Drosophila melanogaster: one gene and its partners. Changing the gene in region 2 together with the main gene of any one other region gives a genetic interaction. Each region holds a gene or a part of one and is shown on either strand. Other genes may lie near its edges.

Region 1 (5,033 bases), on a different chromosome or scaffold from region 2:
ATCTATCTGCTTGTATCTCAATATCTGGCTAATCGCCGACAAACAACAACACGTGCCTCCCTATCAGACTCTCTTTCACACTTTGTTAGCGCCACCACATCTGTGGATTAATTAGCTTCTGAATCACAGACTGCACGCACTTGAAAAGCGCATTTTTTATAGCATCTTTTAAAGGTGCGGAAACTCTGATACGTGTACCTATATACAACTGCGATCTTAGAGATGGGTCAATAAAGATATTAAAGCTATTAGATAAACTTTTGACATTTTGGTGTGCTCGTACAAGGAAAAGATTATATCACAATCTACACATTGTCATTCGCTATTATTAGGAATTTCTTTAACAACTTAGGCAGATAAATTAATCAGATGAATTACAGCCAATCAAAGAAACCAAATATATCAGTGCCACTTTTTTGACCGCAACTGTATGGCAGACCGCTGAATGAGATTAACCCATTTTCCCGCTAATGAACGGTGCCCATTTGGCGGGGGAATGGCTTTCAATAAACCCAAATAGAACCAAACTCATCGACAGCTCATGAAATATGCGCACAGCGTGAAAAGAAATGGCCAGAAGCACAAAGAGAGTGAAAGAACGGTTAGGCGGTCGAATGCAAATTCTCCTGGAATTTGGCCAAGTAGAAAATAGGTTTAGTTTTTGGTTAAAAAGGTAGAGTTACAAAACAAATTTATTGCTCGACCTTTTTTTTTTGGGGCTTAGTGCAAGCTCATTTGTTGTTTTGCCAAAATGTAAATGAAGTCAACGTTGTCGGCCGACTGACTGACATTTCCCATTAGCCGATTCGGCCACGTTATATTGTCTGCAGATTCTGGCCATGGTGAACTTTTGCCTAGACGGATTTCAGCACTTACTTCTTCTCCTTCTTCTTCTTCTTCTTCTTAAGGCGAAGAACCGCACTTTACAGGGTCTTTTCGACGATTGTTTACATTTATGGATGCATAATTGGGTGGCATGCCAGCCCCCCCTCACCATCTACCTAAATGTATTTAAATTTTGCCCACTAATTGACTCCCACAAGCCCACAAACTGCAAAGATGATGGGCTGAGAAGTTGGATTTGAGTCTGTAACCGAAGCCCAATGAAACTGCAACTCATGCCGATAGCAACTTCCTTCCTTTGCCTCTCGAGCTCTTCATCACTCACTCTTCGCTCGGATATAGTATAGTGTATATATACTATACGATTTATATATATATATATACAAGTGTCGGGGCAATTGTCGCATTCGCAATCGCAGTCGGAATCGGAATGGCAACACCTACTGCACATTTTAATTTAAGCTTTTTTTTCGGGCCGCCCCGTTTTCAGTATTAAATGCATTTGTTTTCGAAGGCGTGTTGGCAGTCTGAAACTCATCCATCTGTTTTATTCAAGGCTATGTGTGAACTGAGAAAAATCGTTCTCAAACCGAAAAAAAATCATGAAACATGAAACTAGACCTTTTTAAGATTTTAAATGAATTGCCATTTATTTGAGGTTTCATTTATTTCTTACTTATTGCCAAATATATATGAGTGCTGAAACAATTATTGACAATTCTTATTTATTGGCTTAAAGCCGGCAATATACTGGTTATAAAAGCCAAAAATATATGGCATATTTTAAAGGTCACATGCAAGTGTTTTGCATTTTGTTAATATCAGGCCATTAATTAAAATAAAATTGTCAAAAAGGCTAAATACTTTTAACAAGAATTTCAAAGATTAATATATTATATATTTATATGAGATTTAAATAAGCCAGACTTTAATAATTTTTAAGCATCAAAACAATGGCAACAGCTTTTTTCAGTGCACATGTATCAGAAAAAAGAGTTTGAGAGATGAAGAGCCAGAAAAAGTTGCTGAACCCAAATTAACTTGACATTGTGCTGCTAATTCAGCACTAATCTCTTGAATTGATGGCAAAAAAGGAACTATTTACGAAACTGAGACGTCTCAAATTGTATAATATTCAAATATGAATACGCAATCCGAGGAGGAAGCCGAAAAGCACAGCAGCAAACGCAGATGTTGTCAACCTTGAGAGCCAAAGCCGTGTTTTCAGCTCGCATTTAAATGAAAATGAAACTGAAGTGTAGCAAACAGCAAACACCAAACAGAGCGACCAAAAAAAAAAAAAAAAAGTGCGTAAGCAGGAAGTCCAGCCGTACAGTTAAAGAAAAAGTGGGCAATTATGAATGAAAGATGCTGAGCACTGCGTTTTCCTCCAGGAAGGCGCAACAGGTGCAAGGGCTAGGGTTTCTCTTCGTTTTTCCATGCTTTTTTCGTACTTTTTTCCTGCTTTGCATGCGTGTCTCTTGGTCTCTGCGAACTCACCTTTCTGCTCAATTACTTTTGTTTTTTTTCTGCAGTCGCTGGTGTTGCTGTTGCTGCTGCTGTTGTTGTTGTTGTTGTGACGAAACTGTTGCAAAATTGCTGATATTTTCCCAATGATTACGTATTCGCAGAGCGACGACGAGGAAAAGTGCTTGCCCCTAACTGTTGTTTATTTCTTTACGTATATGTATGTACGTATATTTCATCAATGCTGCAACAATGATTTTCTATTATTATTTATATTGATTTTGTAATTGCCTTTTTGCTACAATTGCCGTTTGCTTTTCACTTTATTAATTTCACTTTTTCGATGCTGCTGGGCTGTGTGGAAACGAGTTTGCCATAAATTGTAATATTTAATTTGGACACGGGTATTTATGCGTCTTTTAAACTCGCGCGACAGAAATTTCTAATTCGCCAGCAAATTAATGAATTCAAAATTGTTGCTATCTCGGCATTTTGTGAACGCACTTCAATTGCATAACGGCGAAGACTGCGCGCACAAAAATTCGTGATGATGACGACCTTTTTTTCCAGCAGCTTCTTTCTCTTCTTTCTCAGTTTGTTTTCTTTTTTGATAATATTTTTTATTGGCTGGGGATTTGCTTTTCTTTCTTAGCTGCACTGCCGACGAGCCAGCGAACCAAACGCACTCGACGACTTTCGCGACTCGACTGAAGAATCGAAGGCGAAAAGCAGAGCCGGGCTTTCGTGGCGGCAGAGCCGAGCTTACCTGGCGGCCTTACCTGCCTTTTTTCTTACCGTAAGTTCGGTTACGTTGCTTCGGTATTTCTTTTACCTGTCTTTTTTTTTTCTTACCTTGTCGCTTCATGGCTAAGTTGGCTTAATAGCGTTTAGCGTGTCTAAAAGCTTGGCGAAGCTTTTTTGGAAAAGAGTTCCTACAAGAGCGCATTTCTAGCTCTTCGAATGGGCGCTCTCTTAGGCAGCTCTTTTGGGCTGCATTTTTGTTGAATTCCCAGCAAGATTTGGTGGTCATCAATCTCATCTCCCTGCTTTCTACACCTTAATTACATCATCGGCATATGTTTCTTGTCGTTTTTTTCTTCTTTTGCTTATCCAAAATGTTTTAATTTTTATTTATCAACTCGTTACTTAAAAGCTTTTAGGCGAGATTTTTTGGCAGGCCTAACGGTTCTGGATTTTATATTTGTTTTTTATGGCCGATGCGCCTCTTATTCTAATGGCTTTCTGAAGGTCAATCGAAATGTCAAACTACCTGCGGTTCTACAACGCCCGCAGATCTCTGGAATTTATGTGACAGGCAATTAAAAATCTGCATTATACAAATAACACCGCTGCAACAAGTGCATGAGCCAAGAACTTGTCCGAGTTAGCCGAGTCTTTTTCGCAACTCGTTTTGCGGGCAGAAATTAAATTGCAAAATCACCAGGCGCAACCAAAAGTGACACGAGGCAAATGCACTAGTTCCATCAAATTGAAATGGTATTAAAACCATTCTGCTGGGCTTGTAAAATGCAAAAGACAAGACACTTTGGTAGAATTTAAATTTTGAATACCCTATGGAAAATAATAATAAATATTCGGGTCAACGATTTAATAGCTTAATATTTTAAGACAATGTACTAGCACAAGCAACTAATTTGAATAAATCACGCAAACAGAGCACTATAGTTGTTTAAACTGATATGAAGAAGATTAACTAGAGGCAAACATTTTTAAAAATTTTATATCACCACTAAATCCTTGTTTATTGCGTTCAAAATGTGCTTAAAATATACACTGCCTGTGTATATAGCGAATAAAGATCGTGAGGCTGCTGATGATGACGGACGGGCCCAGCAACAATGCTGGGAATGCTGTCTTGAAATCCGCAGCGCGTAAAATTATAAATTCATGTCGACGCAAGCCCAAGTTCGTTGCCTAAGTCTTTTGTTTTGATACGACTGCTTGCTGCTTCTTCTTGCGCATGTTTATCGATAAGAAGCGCACAGAGTTTCCCATTTAATTTGTCTAAGCAAATATGACTTCATTACGTGCCAAAAAAAAAAAGGAAAAAATTCCGGTTCGCATACATAACTCATCCCCAACTAATGACACCGTTTGTATAGCCAGGCAATAAGAAGTTTTGACTACTGGCGTATAAACATTTCGCTTGGGTGCTAATTACGGCCAACAACAATGGGAGCCAGCATAGAGTCTCGGCCAGCAATCAAGTTTAATTGATGCTATTATCAAATTATGAGCATTTCCAGTGCGTTTGAAGAGGAGTAGCATTCGTAGGTATGACAGTCCGAGTCACGCGGATGGCATCATAAAAGCTGATGAAACTGCAAAGTGGGGGCGTAGCTGTCGTTTTGCATTTGCTGTTAATGCGAAGCAGTTTCCACCGTTATTGTTCATTTCATACATCTTAATATGCAGCCCGCACGGCTTTGCACTTGTTACACTTTGGTAATCCATATTCAATTACCATGAGACAACGCTGGCATCGAAAATCGCTGGTATGCGGGGGTTACATAACATTCGAAACGGCTCCAAAATCAATTGGTCGCGTTAATGAAAAGTGAAAGACCAAAGTGAAAGACGCCCATAAAAAAGGGAGAGAACCCACAGGTGCTGGCATAATTGTTGTTACTTTATCGATAGCCAATTAAAGTCAAGTTCAAGTGGCCGCACCTCAGGTAATTATTAAAAGTCTGCGGCTGGGC
Region 2 (5,046 bases):
TCGCAGCCGCTGCCGCAGTGGCGTCGCTGCCTCTGCCCTCGGTGGCAGAGCGCACAGATGTTTGCGTTCAAACGGAAGTGGCTTAAGAGAGCGCCTAAGAGAGAGAGAGTGAGAGAGCGAATGGCCTACGTGCGTATTTGTACATGCATACACACAGCTGAGGCAAACAAATAATAACACCTAGGCGCTTAAATAAAAGTTTTTAGGCCAATCGTCTCAAGCTAAATGATTTGATTTACTTTATATAGGTGCTCTGTATGAACTAAGTTAATTGACATATTGCATTAACAATCTTTACAGACACAATAATCTTAGTTCCAACTTGCAAATTGCTAACATAATTTTTCCAATATTCCCACATATCTTAAAACTGTAATTACATTTTCAGTGCTATTCTCTCCACCTGCACTGTACATGTGTATGTATATTTGTCGCAAAGATTTTTACTCATTTGTAACGGAAGCAAATCGCTGGTCAGTGGGTGGTGTATTTGTGTTGTCGTGGGTGTTTGAGTGGTTGGGCGCTTCGGTGATGAGCATAATCCGCATAGTTGTTGCTCCTGCCCCTTTATTATGTAAAAATAGTGACTTTGGCTGGATTTGGCTATGCAAAGTACTTGCTAAGGCAATCACCTACACTTGCGGCAACTGCTAATTGAGAAATCCACACGGCGCTGACATGGAATCATTCGAATCCATTGAAATTGCCAAATTAGGCGTGGGGGTAACCCCTTGAACTTATCGGCTCGGCTTAACGGGTTTAACAAAATTAAATACACACATATGCGCATGTATACATATGTTCATGCTTGTAGAGTGGCTCCTATAGTCTGTTTTGCGAATCAGAATCCAAGTAGAATAGTTTTTTAAGTGTTGTCTCAAAGATGTATGCATACATGGATGTATGTATGTATGTGTGCTTATGACTCTGTAGAAGGTCTATAAACTATGTATTTTGAGGTTTTGAAATGCGAGCTCGAATCAACCCCCTTCCCCGTTTCCAGCTCGATTCATCCTCTTCAACAAGTTCATCTCATCATTTACAGTTTTAGCATGATCCGAAAAATAACAACAACAACAACGACAACAACAAAAGCAAGAAAGTGGGCACAAATAATCGTAACAACAACAATTGTGAGGTCAGTTTGGCACTAGTCAGCGTGTGTGATTATGTGCGCACTTATGTCTGCGTGCATGTACATACATACATATGTTTGTGTGCGAGCACAAAGAGACAATGCAAATTTGCACTCAAACAAAGAGAGAGCGAGTGCAAGTGCGAGTGCGAGAGAAAGGGAAGAGTTCATGAGCGTGCGTTGTGAATGGCTGGAGGGGTCGAGTGCTGTGAGTGGGGGGATCTTTGTTTATCATTTTTGTGTACTATTATTAAGGCGCCGCTGACGGTCGATGACGACATACACACACACACACACACACACACGCAAATGCAAACATAGAGTTTGCACGTGTTTGTGCAAAGTGTTTAGCCGCAAGAAGTAAAGTTCTCGTTTTGATTTTGTTTATTCAAAATTGAAATTCCCAGAAACAAAAGCTCCCATGACGATGATGATTCACATGCCAGACGCTGCGGGGAAAAACATCAGGAACTTTATCAGCTAATTGTGTCACAAGAGGACAAATAAGCCAGAAACATTTGCCTGCGCGCGTTTCTTGGTATAGTGCCATCAACTCGATCTCGATCTCAGTAGTTCATCTTTTATAATGCCCACACACACATACATATGTACATATATGAGCATATGTACATATGTACATAAGTCATATGTACATATATGAGCATATGTATGTACATAAGTCATATGTACGTACATACGTTTTTGATTATCTTAAAAAATTGTAATCACACGTACTCCTGCCATTTGACTTAGACCCACTTTCGATATTGACAAATTTTCAATGGTTTTACATTTTTTCCCCACCTCTATTCATAATTTCTGTGTCTCTTGTGTTGCTTAAATGGGCCGTTTTGATTTCTTTCGCGTCTCATTCCAATTCCATCCCTCTTCCATTCCCATTGCCACACGCTTGGCGCTCTTTTGCATTTTCTTAAAGTCGCCCAGATAAGTTCGGAATTACGTAATTAAGCGGCAGCAGCAACAACAAAAACAACATAACCAACAAGCTAACAATTAAGTATTTATTGCTTTCAATTTGCTGCCCGATAACAAAAGAAGCCAAAAAACAAAAAGGAAAAACGAGAGACTGGAAAAAACAAGCAGAACAAAGTAAATAAAAACCGAAACGGACACACATACACACACACACACACCGCTACCTGCGTCGACAGCGGCAGCGAAATCAGCGCCTCGCTTCAATTTTATTCCGTTTGAATTTGAAGATGTTTTTAGTGCACTGCCATTAAGTCCTTAGCACGCGCTTTTATTTCGCTTCGTTTCAATGTGCAGGTAGGAATAACAAAAAGCGGAGGATGGGAGTGACAACGAAATCGAAACTTTGCAACAAAATTGCATTTGAATGAGCAGCGGGGGCGCGCGGTAATTTCAATTATCAATAACATATTTAAATTCCCCATTCTCCTCCCCTTCTATTATCCTCTGTCCCTCCTTCCCCCCTCCACGGACTCCTACACCTTTTTTAGTCGCTCTCTCAACTCTTGATTGCTCTCTCTCTCCCTCTCTCTGTGCGATGGGAACGTTCTCTTTGCCTTTGCATCGGCCACTTCACTTCAGCGGAGAGCACAGTGGGATAAATTGGCAGTTGATGACCCATTGTTGCATTATTGTGTTTTAACCATAAAGCCAACAAATGCTTGGCGTTCAAGCCCTTCATGGAGTAACGCATATCAACGGATTGTCGGGGATTATCCAACGTCTTAAAGTCAAAATCTTACAAATCGCAGTATTTACCTGGCAAACGTGTTAATCCACAGGTAAGTTGGGCTGAAACCACCCTAAGTCAATATCAAGGGTTTTTTTTTAGATCTTTCTAAAGTTTAATTGTACGCATGTCTTAGCTTCGAATTCTTGTCATCCGAAATGCTTTGTTGTCCATTTGTTCTTGTTCTGGCCCACTGTGCCGCGTGTGAATGAACGTATAAAAAGTGAGAGCGTCGCCTGCCCGACTCATAAACGAAAATCAATGACTCCCAATGCGCGTACCCTTCCCTCACCCCCCTGCGGAGCCCAACGCTTTTTGGGAGTGATAAATGCCGCCTCAGCGTCGTCAGCAGATTTCAGCCTGCGCATGTTTGTCGGCCCGCAAACACTCGCAAACACACACACACGCTCTTCCCGTGATGTTTGTTGATTTGGCTGCATTCAAGAAACGACAGTGCTTGGGGCAGTGGGCATTGTTAGACTTTTAGTCGTTTCAACTCTACTTTCAGTGGGTATCATCCGCAACCAAAAGGAGGAAGGATGAACATTGCATGTGTGTACATACATATGTACATACGCAGTACGTAGTACGGATTACGTATTACGTATGGGCAGTTGCCATTTATGCAAGGTGGCTGTTCCTGCACTCGAACACATGTTTGTGTGGTCATTTGTAATTTGGTCAGGCGAGCAACAAGAAAAAAGGATAATGAAAGGATCAAATGTGCGTAGAACGTACATATAAAGGGTGTGATATCACAATTATTTTCGATGACTTCGTTTAATGTTGGAAAAGTAGACGGGAATGCATTACATCGAAGTGAACTATTTAACTTTGGATAGAACTGTTGTTTTTTGTAGGCATTTGCATTTCTCGCCGCTTCTTCTGCTCCTCCTCCTGCTCTTCGCTTTGGCGTTGGCGAGAGAGCGCCTCGTTGGTCTCTTTGTGTGTTTATGCTTTCAACATTGATACGTGCCACTTTTCGGATGCAGACTTGCGAGAAGCAGCGGGGGGGGGGGGGGGGGAAGAGGAAGTGGCAGAAGCTGGTAGACGGGGGCAACGTGTGGGGACAGCTGGGTGAGTTTGTAATTAATTGCGGCCTTGCCTCCCCTTCACCGCCAAACATCCTCATCCCCGGCAGCCAGGCTCCCTCGCTCGCTCAGGCAAACTCTCTCGCTGAGAAACCAGCCGCCAACAGTTTGTTTTCTTTTCTCGCCGCTCTCATCGTCACTTCCGACTCGTCGGGGGCAGAGGGTGGGCCAGCGGCATACTCTTTGTCTAGTCGCCAATCTCCCCGCACTCCACTTCATTCATGAAGCACAAAGTGTACAGCAGACACTCGCTAAGTGACTAGTGTTTCGTAATTCATTAAGATTTTTGTTGGTTTTCTTCTCTCATTTTTCCCGCACCAATTCTGCACTATTCACAAGTAAAAATGGCACCAACTCTCTTATTTGTGGGCACTAAAACGACCATGAATCGTCGTTCGGTGTTCACTGTACCTGCTGCCAGTAGCCCAAAAACGGACAGTGGCTGAGGCGTCAGCGTCGGCAGAGCAAAGAAAGCGCGCTAGTTACAGTTACAGTTACGTTACAGAGGGCCAAAGACAATGCTAGGCTTGGTTAACGGTAATTACAGCGTTTGTGGGGGGGGGGGGTGTGGTGTAGTGCTCGGGCGTAGCTAGGCAGAGGGATATTTGTTAATACATATGTAGCACTCGAATTCTTTAGTTGGTTTATAATATCATCAAGAATGAGGAAAAAACTAGCTAATTTGTTGATAAATGTTAAGATGCCCCTCTGTTTTAAGTCCTCACTAAGCCCATGAAAAGCACCGTTAATTGAGTGGGATGATCCCCATTGAAAGCGCAGTACTACAGCTAATTCCAATACCACTTTCAATATCCAATTGCTCGCCTTTCAATCGTCGAAACGGTGAACGAAGAGGAGAAAAGATAAGGGTATGTACCGAAATGTGGAAATACCCGAAAGGGCCATTGGAATATGGGATATTGAACCCTAATCGTGAAGACCTCGTGTTTTCTTTGACTCATCAGCCGATTTTGCGATAATGCGCTCTTTTTGGTATCCGTTGGATGATACATAAATTAAATACATAAATGATAACTTATAGAAACACCATACACAACTGTTTAGAAATTTGTGTCAATCACTGTGACTCACTCATG
Region 3 (5,044 bases), on a different chromosome or scaffold from region 2:
AAGGGCTTCAAGCATTGTTCACTAGTTTCGGGATGTGTCACGATTAGATAAATTATCCTCTTGAGTGGCTAACTAAAGTACATGATCGGCGTGCGTTGAGTAGGGGCTTAGATGTGGTTCGGGAAAATGAGATAAGGGAAAATTACTTTTAAATCGAAACTTTCACGATAACGTCAAGTCTTTTTAGCTCGTTTTTCAAAATAAATGCCCCGCAATCGAATTTTCACTGGGCATCAGCTCTCGTAAGCGAAAAAAAAGTATCTCTGTATAAATTATGATATTATAGACGAAAACAGATTGAAGCGCCCAAAAGTGACTCACTGTAATTTCGAGAAGGGAACGCTTTTTTTTCGTCTGACCAACTGTTGCTGACAGCAAAAAAGGTAACAAACCAAATAAAACAGCAAAATAATATAAAGTAACAATTCGGTTGTTCGGTGGAACCAAAGAGCGCAGCTGGCAATCATCGACAGCGACAAAATCTATTATGCAAAGGCAACACAAAATTAAGGAACGCGAATGAAAAACCGCAAAGCAAACATGAAAAGCGCGCGCGCAAAAAAAAGAAAAACAATAAAAACTGACCGCACTCAACGTGGCCGAGCACAAAAGCTACTTAAACAACCGTTAAGTCAAACACTTTGCAAATGGCCCACACCCTCAACCCGTTTGGCCCCCTTTTGGAAAATCGGAAAACTAGTTGCCTAAGGTCAAATGGCGTTTAATAATTTGGGTTAGTCGAGTGGTAAGATATACGAGCAGTACGCTCGAGATAGATAGATATCTTGCAGATACCCAGACACACAGGCACACCACACTCACTCAAAAGTCTCAAAAGTAAGACATTCGACTCGAGTTTGGCGCGTGCCAATTAAACGTGCTTAGCTCTGTGCTCCCAGCTCTGTTTTATTGCCGCTGGGTTATGTTTCCCTGGTTTCAGCCAGGTCTTTATTTTCTTGCTGGTCCAGCACACGCCCAATTTTTTGACCATATTTACGAACAATATCGCATGACAGCCAACTCGGCAGTTGTCTTGCATGTGTCTCGGCGTTTCTTTCTTAAAGCCATAGCACACTAAAAGTTTTATCAGCCTAGTTTAGATAATCATGACCGAAGGAAATTGATCTTAATGTGATTTATCGAGCTAGTTATCACCATTTCTACTTTATTTTCATTTATTTATAACATAAGTAGATTTTTGTCTCAATACAAAATTTTTTAATTTGTAAGATTCCCACTTTGGGAATTTGATCCAGTAATTCCCCACATGATTTTGAGTTTTTGCAGTTTTGTGACTTCGTTTATTAAGTTTGCTCTCTCCTCCAATCGAAACTTCTCAATTACTTCTCAATTTTCCCCTTTTTGAACTTGTTCGATTAATTTTTATTGAATTACCGTTTTTTCGGCTTCCTTTCGAATGTGGCCGAGAAATTTGCCTTCCGCTCTGCCTTTTACACTTTTTTTTTTGCTGATAAGCTGACAAAGTGCTGAATTGACCATATATAAAATAAAAAAAAAACTGGGTAAAAGTAAACAAAAACAACCTGGATGCAGTTGACGCAGTTACTCGAAACTGGATGAATCAACAACCTTGAAAAGTGAAACTTGCACAAGGGGAACTGAAGCAGTTAACAAATAACGTCACAACTTGGCTAATTGCTGACCCATTTTAAAATGAGGGAAACCCTCCGGCTGTCCAGAAACTTTCTTAAACTAAACTAAATGATATTAAAAGCGGTAATCAAAAATATGAAACCTTTAAAGTCGCTTGTATAGAAAAAAATTGTTCGCCATTTTTTATTGATCAAATCTATTAGTTTGAAAATATCTTCAAACATTTAAAATGCTGTTTTTTCGAAAGAAATAAATTTACTATTCTTTAAGCAATTTCAAGTTAATAACATTTTTTGTTTACTTTTACAAGGAGATCCTATGAAAATCCTTCTTGTTAATAGCAAAACAAGTGGGCTTAAATAAAGTGTTGGTTATAAGCATTTTAGAAAATATATTACCAACATGCGTAAGCAGTTATTCTGTGTGGGAACTTCTTAAACATTTCGCAATTAATAACCGTATATGAATCGAAACTTATTTTTGTATCTGCAAATGTATTTGAGGTAAACTAAATGGATATCCTGATTAACCCACACAATTTCAAAGTTCTTAAGAGTGGAGAATTGAGATCTTTGTAGACTTACCACTCTGCTGGCTCTGGTACATCCTGACCCACTCGTAGAGGGCGTATAGCACTTGGTCGGTGGGCAGTGGAGACTGCATCGGCGTCTGCGTGGCCGACGAGGTGGTGGTGTTCGGCGATTGCGAGGCGGCGCTGCTGGCGCCGTCCGACGATGCGGAGGACGAAGATGAGGCCGAGGAGGCGGAGGCCGAGGACACGCCCGAGGAGGAGACGGACGAGGATGCGCTCGAGGGAAGTGGGTGGTTGTGGGGGGAGGAGTTGCCCGAGGCTCCCGATGAACTCGACGCTACGTCATCGGCGCCGCCCTCGGGCAAATAAAAGGGCACGGCCATTGTGTGGGTGTGTGTGTGTGCTGGCTTCCTTTTTGTCCTTATCCGCTTCCTTCCTTCCTGCACTTTGTTGGCACTTTGCTCTTCTTGTGATTGTTCTTCGCTGCTTTGTTTTGCTTTTTATTTTGTGTACAACTTTTGGTTAGAGTTCACTTTAATTGATTTTGTATTTCTTGTGCAAGATTTTGAATATTAGAAACTTTTTCATTTTTCGTGCAGTTTTTTCTTATGATTTGTTTTTTATCTTTCCTGATTTGTCAAACAACACTCAAGTCAAGTTTTTGCTCGGTTAGTTAGTTTTTCGGATTCTTCTGCGTTTTTCATCAACCCTTTTCGTGTTTAGAACTGATTTAAAAACACAAAACTGTTCACGATGGATTTCGTTTTTTATTTTTTGTTATTTTTTTATTCTTTGCTTTTGCTGTTGTCAATTATGGAAGAGCACTTAAAACGTGTCGCAGACTCAAAGAAAGAGGGCAGGAAACACGTCTTACTGGCTCCGCGGCTAAAAATGAACTGTTCGCACTGGGGCCTCAAACTACGGCAACAGAGCCTCTACCGCGACGTCGGCAGAGCGGCAGCGTAGGCGCGCAGCCAGTGCAATCGCAATCTCTCTCGCTCCCTCTCCTGCACATGCACGTGCATGAAGGAGGCACACTTGAGAGAAAAAAAATATTTTAAAAAATCCCGCTCTTTACCTACCCTGTAATAGCTGAGTGAGGAAGAGTATACTCGGACCATGAATTGCGTCTACATAAATGCATCAAGGAGCATAGTTAACATATCTAGATTTTAAGGTTGTAAAAATTTAATTGATTGGCTTTCGCATACTGAAAAAACTGAAATATTGTACCAGCGCACTAATTGCTGAAGTAACACTATTTTATAACTCATATTTACTTACAACATAAAGTACATATTTAGATGCACAAACAATGTGAAGGGTATGTCTCAGTTGGTACTCTTACAAAACGTTCTTTCTCGTTTCAACTAAGAGTGTGTGGGCAGGCTGTGTACGCGTGTATGTGTGGGTACACAAAGATCTTGTCGAGCAGGTAAATTCAGAAGAAGAAGAAAACTCATCAGAAGTAGCGAAGAGGCAGTATATCCGACTGCGCTGCCTAGCGAACGCTAAAGCAAAACAAAAACTGCAATTGTACAACACTCTTTGCTTGTGGTTTTCGTTATTGCACTTTGCTCTTGCTTTCGGTTTTGATTTGTATTTGTTTAAACAAGAGAGCGGAGGGAGAGCAAGCGTTCTTAAGAGGCCAAAAAACCGGAGTAGAAAGAGTATGATAAATGGGAGTATATTCTATGAGCGGATTAAATGAGTTAAAAAGGTAGTAGAAAAAAGGGAGTTTTTAGACAAAGCTTGATTACTTTCTCACATTTTAAAATATTTTGAGAAGGGAAGTTCACAATTTTATAATGTTCAATACTTTTTTTTTGAATATAAATTTGAAAAATAGCAACATGATTAACAAAGGATCCAACTTGCTTAGCTCAGGTTTTACTGGCTAAATGAATGTACATATGTATGTATGTATGTACATTTATGCAGAGAATGATTAGCTAGTTTATTGTATTTAATAAAATAAATTAAATTGTTTTATATTTTGGGTATTCAAGCAATGTAATAAAGACTATTTAGTTGGCGTTCATTCACATTAAACATTTCAAACGTGTTTTTGAATATACGATAAGGAGTTTAGCTAATTACATTTCCGATTTGGATGTTGGCTATATTTAATCAATTTCACCATATATCAAAAATTGACTGTGCAACATGAAAAACCTGTTTTCGCTCTTACTCTTGTCTTCCTCTGCATCTTCCCCTCTCCCTCCCACACATTATACAAACAGGCTTTTTCCTCTCCTTTTCTCTCTCTCTCTCTCTCTCTCTATTTCCTTCTCTGTCATTCCCAACTTTGCGCGCGAAAACGCTTGAAAAAAATTACGAAATACGCGTAAAACAATTCTTGGCTTTTAATTTAAATTTTACGGCAAATAATTCTCGTAACTGGCATTACTTTAGATCCATTTATTAGCTTTGTATCTATGTAGCTCTAGTAGCTCTCTTAATAATGTGGTATTATAAAATGTTCGCAATATAATTTAAAACAAATTAGATTCTAGACCTAAAACTAGTTTAATAGCCCATATTTCAAAATAAAAGAGGCCCGTCGAAAATTCTGAAGAAAATGCACTTGCATTTAATCTAGTTTTATTATACTTGTTCATATCCCTTAAATGATTACCTTAAATTTTTAAAATCAAAAATGATTTTAGCCCTACCTGACACCTTTTTTGTTTTCACCCAAAAACTCTCTTTATTTAATAAACTAAGATTGAGGTCAAAAATATGCCGATAAAGTGCGATAACACGTAAGCTAAACGACTCGACGACAAATGTATGTACGTAAGTATGTATGGATGAACATACATGAATATGTACATTATGCAAGGATTTCCCAAGATGACGAAATTCAAGCACACTCTTGCACAAAACGACATAAAA
Region 4 (5,948 bases), on a different chromosome or scaffold from region 2:
GCTGCTTTTAATTAGGCTATCAAACTAAATTACAAACCTTCCACTCCATACCACCTTACACACACCAGGCACATTGAATTTTAAATTTTCCAAATGTCGCGGTCACTCAACTGATTTCTATATACCCAACCTGGCACCCATGTACTGCACATATGCGTCGGGTGTGCGGCTCACCCAGACGCCGAGCATAATCCACACGTGATTGGCGATGGATATTGGACCTAAAAGCCTCCTTGTTGAATAAGCTAATCGAATTCATTAATATTTAGTGCCGACAGTTTGGGCGCACAACTAAACACTAATTAATCACTTCAAAGTCGCATCGAAAGTTCATTATTTTAATTGGCGAGCAGTGGTTTAAAACACAATATTTATCACCTTGAACTCTTGTGCATAAATTATCTATCTATCTACATCGCACTGCAAGAATCCAAGAATATTGTAAAAAGTTGGACTCCACTTAGATAGTTTTTGGAAAATTCGAAAATCTATAGAATTCATTTAGATCACAACGAAAGTTGGCATATTAGTTTTCCAAGCACTTTATTTGATGTTCTAAAAGTTGTTTATTTTAACTGATGTTTTCAATATGCGTATTAAAATATGTGTACCGATATAAATATATGTTCCGCAAAAATCACGCGATTACTCATTGATTAAATTTTTTAGCCTTTTCATATGAATTTCGAAACCTTTTTCGACTTACTGCCTTCGTAGTTCACTGCACTAGGACCGGGTTCCATTGTAACTTTGTATAACTTCCGTTCTTGTATATATTCAAGTCAAGTTAATGTATATATGTATTTATTATATATATTCTTTTTGAATTTTTTGGATCAAACGAGCTCAGCACAACCGTCGCACTGTAGTCGAAACTTTGCAATGGGTCTGGAGAATGTAGAACGCAAGTTGGAAACCAAAACCTTAAACAAAACACCCGATCAAAGGTATGCTTTCGAAACTCTCCGAGATCGGCAGAGCCGGAACGGTGGAAAAGGTTTACGAAACGGAGCGGAATTTAAAAACCTTACATTTTATTTATACGAAATGATTGTAGTTACACATCTTCAGCGTAGTCTAGTTCCACATAAGCAAAGATCCAAAGAATTACTTCTTTTTCTTATCCTTCTTTGTCTTTTTCGATGGAGGTGCCGCAGAAACCGCTTGGCTATCAGTTCCTTCGGTGGTCGTTTCCACGCTGAAGCCCTTGATGTACGGCTTGACCAGCCGGAAGATCAGCTTCTCGTGCTGCACATTGCTGGAATCCAGGCTAAGACGAACCGTGACTGGATCAAAGGAGTGGAACACCACGTCACCGCAACGCTGTGTATGATCCTCTTCGTTGAAGGTGAAGACAATCTCGCTCTTGACGCGCTCCACACCGTCCTTGCCATCCTTGTCCGACTTTAGATACAAAGTGCCTTCCAGGCCATACTTGGGGATTAGCACTTGCAGAGCATTCTTGCGCACAAATAGCACATATCTAGGGATGGGTAATAATTGAAAAGAATGTTGCCCACTAGTGGTTTCTTCGACTCACCCTTCCTCATCCTCCTCCTTGCCGCGGAAAAAGAGATGCGTGTTGAGGGCCACTGATGCGCGACCAGCGTACTGAGCCATTTTGTGGCGGTAGTTAAGATTATGACACAGCTCCTCATTTGACTTTCGGTCCAATAGCTGGGCATAGGTGCTATCCGCGCCGATTGAGGCGGCCAGCAGGCGATGTACCATAATGTCGGAGTAACGACGAATGGGCGACGTAAAGTGCGTGTAGATGGGAGCAGCCAGACCGTAGTGGAAGAACTCCTCCTTCTGCAGACTGCCGCTGATGAAGTACACTGCCTGCATCATACAGCGTGTGGTGAGGATGCGGATCATTGTGTTAAAGTACGGATTATCCGCCTTGACACACTTGTCCAGTGAATGCGACAGCTCCAGTCCCGAATTGATGTCCACCTGGAAGCCCTGGTAGCGCGCAGACTTTACCAGCGGATCGAAATTGGTAGGCGGTGGCCGAGGATGGCGACGCAGAACAGCGCACTCGGAGAACTCCGTTGCGATATGCTCGGCCACCGTGATGTTGGCCAGCAACATGAACTCCTCCACCATGGAATTCGTCTCGCGCATCTGCTTCACCTCCACCTCGAGTGGTTCGTGTGTCTCGCTGTCCACCTGGAAGCGGATCTCCGGGGAGGCAAGGACAAGGGCTCTGTAAATTATGGATGCCTTAGTTCACTTGATTACGAGGTGTTAATATAATCTTACCCATTATCCATTCGTCGCTTTTTCAGTATTTTGGCCAACCGATTAAGATTTCTCAGGGACTTGGCTATTTCATTCTGTTGCGTGGCATCGTCGATGATATTCTGCGCTTCCTCGTAGGTCATGGCACGCTTCGATTTGATGACGCTCTTGTGGAAGCGTTTGCTTAACACATTTGCTTCATTGTCCACTTCCCACACGCAGGAGAAGGCGAATCGCTCAACACCGCCAACCAATGAGCAGAGATTTGAGCTGAGTAACTCGGGTACCATGTCGATTCGTTTGCCCACCAAGTACACGGTGGTTCCCCTGGCCGCTGCCTCCATGTCCAGTGCGTTTCCTGGACGAATAAAGTGACTTACGTCGGCTATGTGAACGCCCACTTCCAGATTGCCGTTCGGTAGTTCCTTGCAGTGCAAAGCATCATCGATATCCGTGCAGCCCGGGGGATCCACAGAGCAAATGTACAGATCCCTCAGATCCACACGCTTGGAATAGTCCTCGTCAGTAATTGTCCAGGGCATTTTCGGCAAGAAGCTAAGCACTTCGTCCGAGAACTTGCAGTGCGGGACGTCGTGCTCCAGCAGGATAACCTCGTTCTCGGTGGCCATGTCTCCGAGCGGTCCCAGGGAGCGCACAAAATGTCCATGTGGGTAGCGCGAGTTGCGCGGCCATGTGTCAATCGTTACGATGATGCGCTGGTTCTGCAGCATTGCTGCCTGTCGCGTTTCGATACGGATGCGCGGAATCTTACGGTCGGCGGGCACAAAGATGTGCCGATTTGTATCCTCTATTAAGCTAGGCTGCAGGATGCCGCAATACTGTCGCCATTTCCGTCGCACAATACCGACAATTCGCCCTGTGGGCGTGCGCTCTGCGGATAAGGCAGCGGCACGCACCTGATTCAACATCTCATTTTCATCCTTGGCCCTTTCCTCGCTGGGCACTTCATCGGCATAGACATTCTTCTCCTCCAGTACAATTTCACTGGGTGCTGACCACTCCGCCTCGGGCAAAAGCTCCACGGCCACCAGGTCGCCATCCACGGCCCGATTAAGAGACTCGCGTCCTTGGATAAGGATCTATTAAACAGAAATCGTATTGTGAAGCGTATGCCAGGGAAGATATTTAGCGTTTTAACTTACCCCCTTTTCGAATTTCTCTACATTGACGGTGCCCTCCAAGTAGTTTTCCCTGGATGCCTGAAAAGTGCCCTGTAGTAGCTTATTTTGGCGCAGTCCTTCCAGCAGCTCCTTCATGCTGAGATGCGGCGGGTACTGGGGCAGACCATTCTTCTCGCTGTCGAATGTTTTGTGCGACAGCTTATCCATCAGAAGTGGAAAATCCTCGAGAGATTTCACGTACTCCGCTGCTGTGGTCACCAGAATACCTTCTGCTTCGGCCTTAGCACGATTGGCAGCATCATCTGTGAGCAGAACAACTCGCGTAGCAGCTTTGCCACTGCGCTCGAACTCTTTAGAGGATTGCGAGGCCTGCAGGTGATCATCGTACCACTTGGTGGCCAGACGAATGGCCCGATCATTGCGATCATTGGCGGTCTCATCTGGTTCGCGATCAGCATAGGTTTCCCTAGAAGAAGCACTATATTATAAAGGTTTCCCAAGAAAATCCATTAACCCACTTGTGGTGCTCGTTGACGAACACATAGAAGTTCCTGGTGCGGTCGTGGACGATCTCATTGAATCGCTTGTAAATGGCGGAGCTCCTGTGCTTCACCTCGTTGAGCACGGTGGTCAGAACGACTACGTTGCGCAAAACATCCTCCTCCAGCACGTCGATCTGGTCCAGAACCACATTTGTGTCCAAAACGAGATAGTGCGGGAATTTGAAGAGGGTGCTCTTATTCGCGTGCTGCGAGGTGAGCTGGTATACCTCGTTTTGGAAACACTCCCGGCACAGCTCGGAGCCGCAGCCGATGTCGTCGCGCAGATAGTGCTCCCGTACAATCTTCAGAATGTTGCCGCGCTTGGTTTTACGCGTAAATTCGCGTAAAGTTTGCATTTTGTTGAACCGCGTTCGAATTGTTACACCTTCACATGTGTGCCGGAATAGGGAGGCCCGTGCATGATTCGACTGCGGTATTATCTGCCTAAGGCCTGTTCACACTGCAGCCGCAATGGTCACAGTGGTTTGAGTCTACGGACTGCCCCGTATCTTAAGGTATAATTTAGTACCATTTATTGAACTGATTTTCTATATCGGCGCTTAGCACGTGTAGAACGCACGTTGCTCAAATTTTGTTATTTAAAACGCTAAATTACACAGCTCCCGGATGGTGCCGAACGAGAAAAGCTTTCCCCGAGGCGGGACAATCCACAGCGAAGTCAAAACCGACGACGTGAGCCTGAATATCGTGAGTTTAGCCAGCGAAATATCCGAGATCTTTGTACATACTTTTCTGTCCCACAGGTTTTCGGTGCCTCGCAGAAGAAGGTGAAGAAGGCGCCGAAAGTAAAAGAGAACCTTCTGAGCTACGAAACCGAGGAACAAAATGGCCAACTGGAGGCCTTCTCCGCGGAAACGCTCAATATGGACACGCTGCAGGAGGACATGCTGGTCATGGGAGTGGTCAAGGAGTTGACAGCCACCGCACTGCAGATCGCTTTGCCCGGTCGGATGTTCGCCCGCACCTTGGTGGCGGATATATCCGACGCCTACACCCGTGTGGCCAAGGCGGCCATGTCCGGAGACACCAGCGAGTACCACGACCTTACCGAGCTCTTCCAGTTGGGCCGCATCGTCTACGGCAAGGCCATCAAAACAGAAAAGCTGGACACCGGTCGGGTTAGCCTGCTCCTTTCCCTCAAGCCGGCCGATGTGCACGGTAATCTGCATCACAAGAGCATTAAGAAGGGTTTCATCTTCTCTGGCGCCGTGGCGGAGGCTCTGGAGCACGGCTATGTCATCGAGTCGGGAGTACAAGGACTTCAGGCATTCGTGCCATGCGAGAAGCCAGCTCAGAAGCTACACGTGGGGCAGTTGGCTTTCCTAAAAGTCAAAACCGTTCATCACGACACCCACCAGAGCACCTGCACCTGTGTCCAGGTGGAGCAGGACCAGCTGCGCATCAAGAGTCAAAACGAGACGAATCTCGACTACATTCTGCCAGGCAGCATTGTAAAGTTTAAGGTGGCCAAGCATCTGAAGGATGGCCTCAAAGGCAGCATCATGAATGAATCCTTTAGTGCCTACGTCAACGAACATCATCTAGCTAACGCTTTGGATACTTTGGATGCCTACGAGCTGAATGAGGATTACAATGCCAGGGTACTCTACGTGATGCCCCTAACCAAACTAGTGTACTTAACTCTTAATCTGGATATCAAAACTGGAGCTGCAGTAGCAAAAGATCAGGATGAGGAAGAGCAGGAGGTAGAGCCCATAAAGGTGGGTTCCGTGGTGGAAAAAGCCAAGGTTCTGCGCTTGGGCAGCGGTGGCGTGGTACTGCTTCTTAATAAGAAACTAAAGGGCATTATCTCATACGGTTCAATCAGAGGCAATTTCAAGGGAAATTATGACAAGGACGAAGTATTGTCCAAATACGGAAGAAAAACGAAGCATAAGGTTCGCATCCTAGGATACGATGTCATCGAATCCTTGTACTACTGCTCCGATGATCCCAACGTGGTCAACGAAAAGCTGTTCTGCCTGGAGGATATTAATGC

What was found.
Region 1: of Raf (region 2) and exp, changing one enhances a phenotype caused by changing the other (phenotypic enhancement), as found in Drosophila melanogaster (one study listed by BioGRID).
Region 3: of Raf (region 2) and hid, changing one enhances a phenotype caused by changing the other (phenotypic enhancement), as found in Drosophila melanogaster (2 studies listed by BioGRID).
Region 4: of Raf (region 2) and Dis3, changing one enhances a phenotype caused by changing the other (phenotypic enhancement), as found in Drosophila melanogaster (one study listed by BioGRID).

The regions. Positions count from the first base shown.
Region 1 is NT_033778.4:11,937,545-11,942,577, reverse strand, and holds the start of exp (expansion), read right to left. Parts: upstream 3,022-5,033; 5' UTR 2,344-3,021; intron 1-2,343.
Region 2 is NC_004354.4:2,293,444-2,298,489, forward strand, and holds the start of Raf (Raf oncogene), read left to right. Parts: upstream 1-2,022; 5' UTR 2,023-2,515; intron 2,516-2,710; 5' UTR 2,711-2,910; intron 2,911-5,046.
Region 3 is NT_037436.4:18,182,594-18,187,637, forward strand, and holds the start of hid (head involution defective), read right to left. Parts: upstream 3,049-5,044; 5' UTR 2,530-3,048; coding exon 2,199-2,529; intron 1-2,198.
Region 4 is NT_033777.3:24,331,829-24,337,776, reverse strand, and holds Dis3 (Dis3), read right to left. Parts: upstream 4,345-5,948; 5' UTR 4,285-4,344; coding exon 3,905-4,284; intron 3,853-3,904; coding exon 3,408-3,852; intron 3,345-3,407; coding exon 2,266-3,344; intron 2,210-2,265; coding exon 1,541-2,209; intron 1,484-1,540; coding exon 1,108-1,483; 3' UTR 744-1,107; coding exon of another isoform or gene 707-743; 3' UTR 529-706; downstream 1-528. Other genes in the region: CG6432 (uncharacterized protein), read right to left, coding at 707-743; Rrp5 (ribosomal RNA processing 5), read left to right, coding at 4,556-4,636, 4,693-5,948.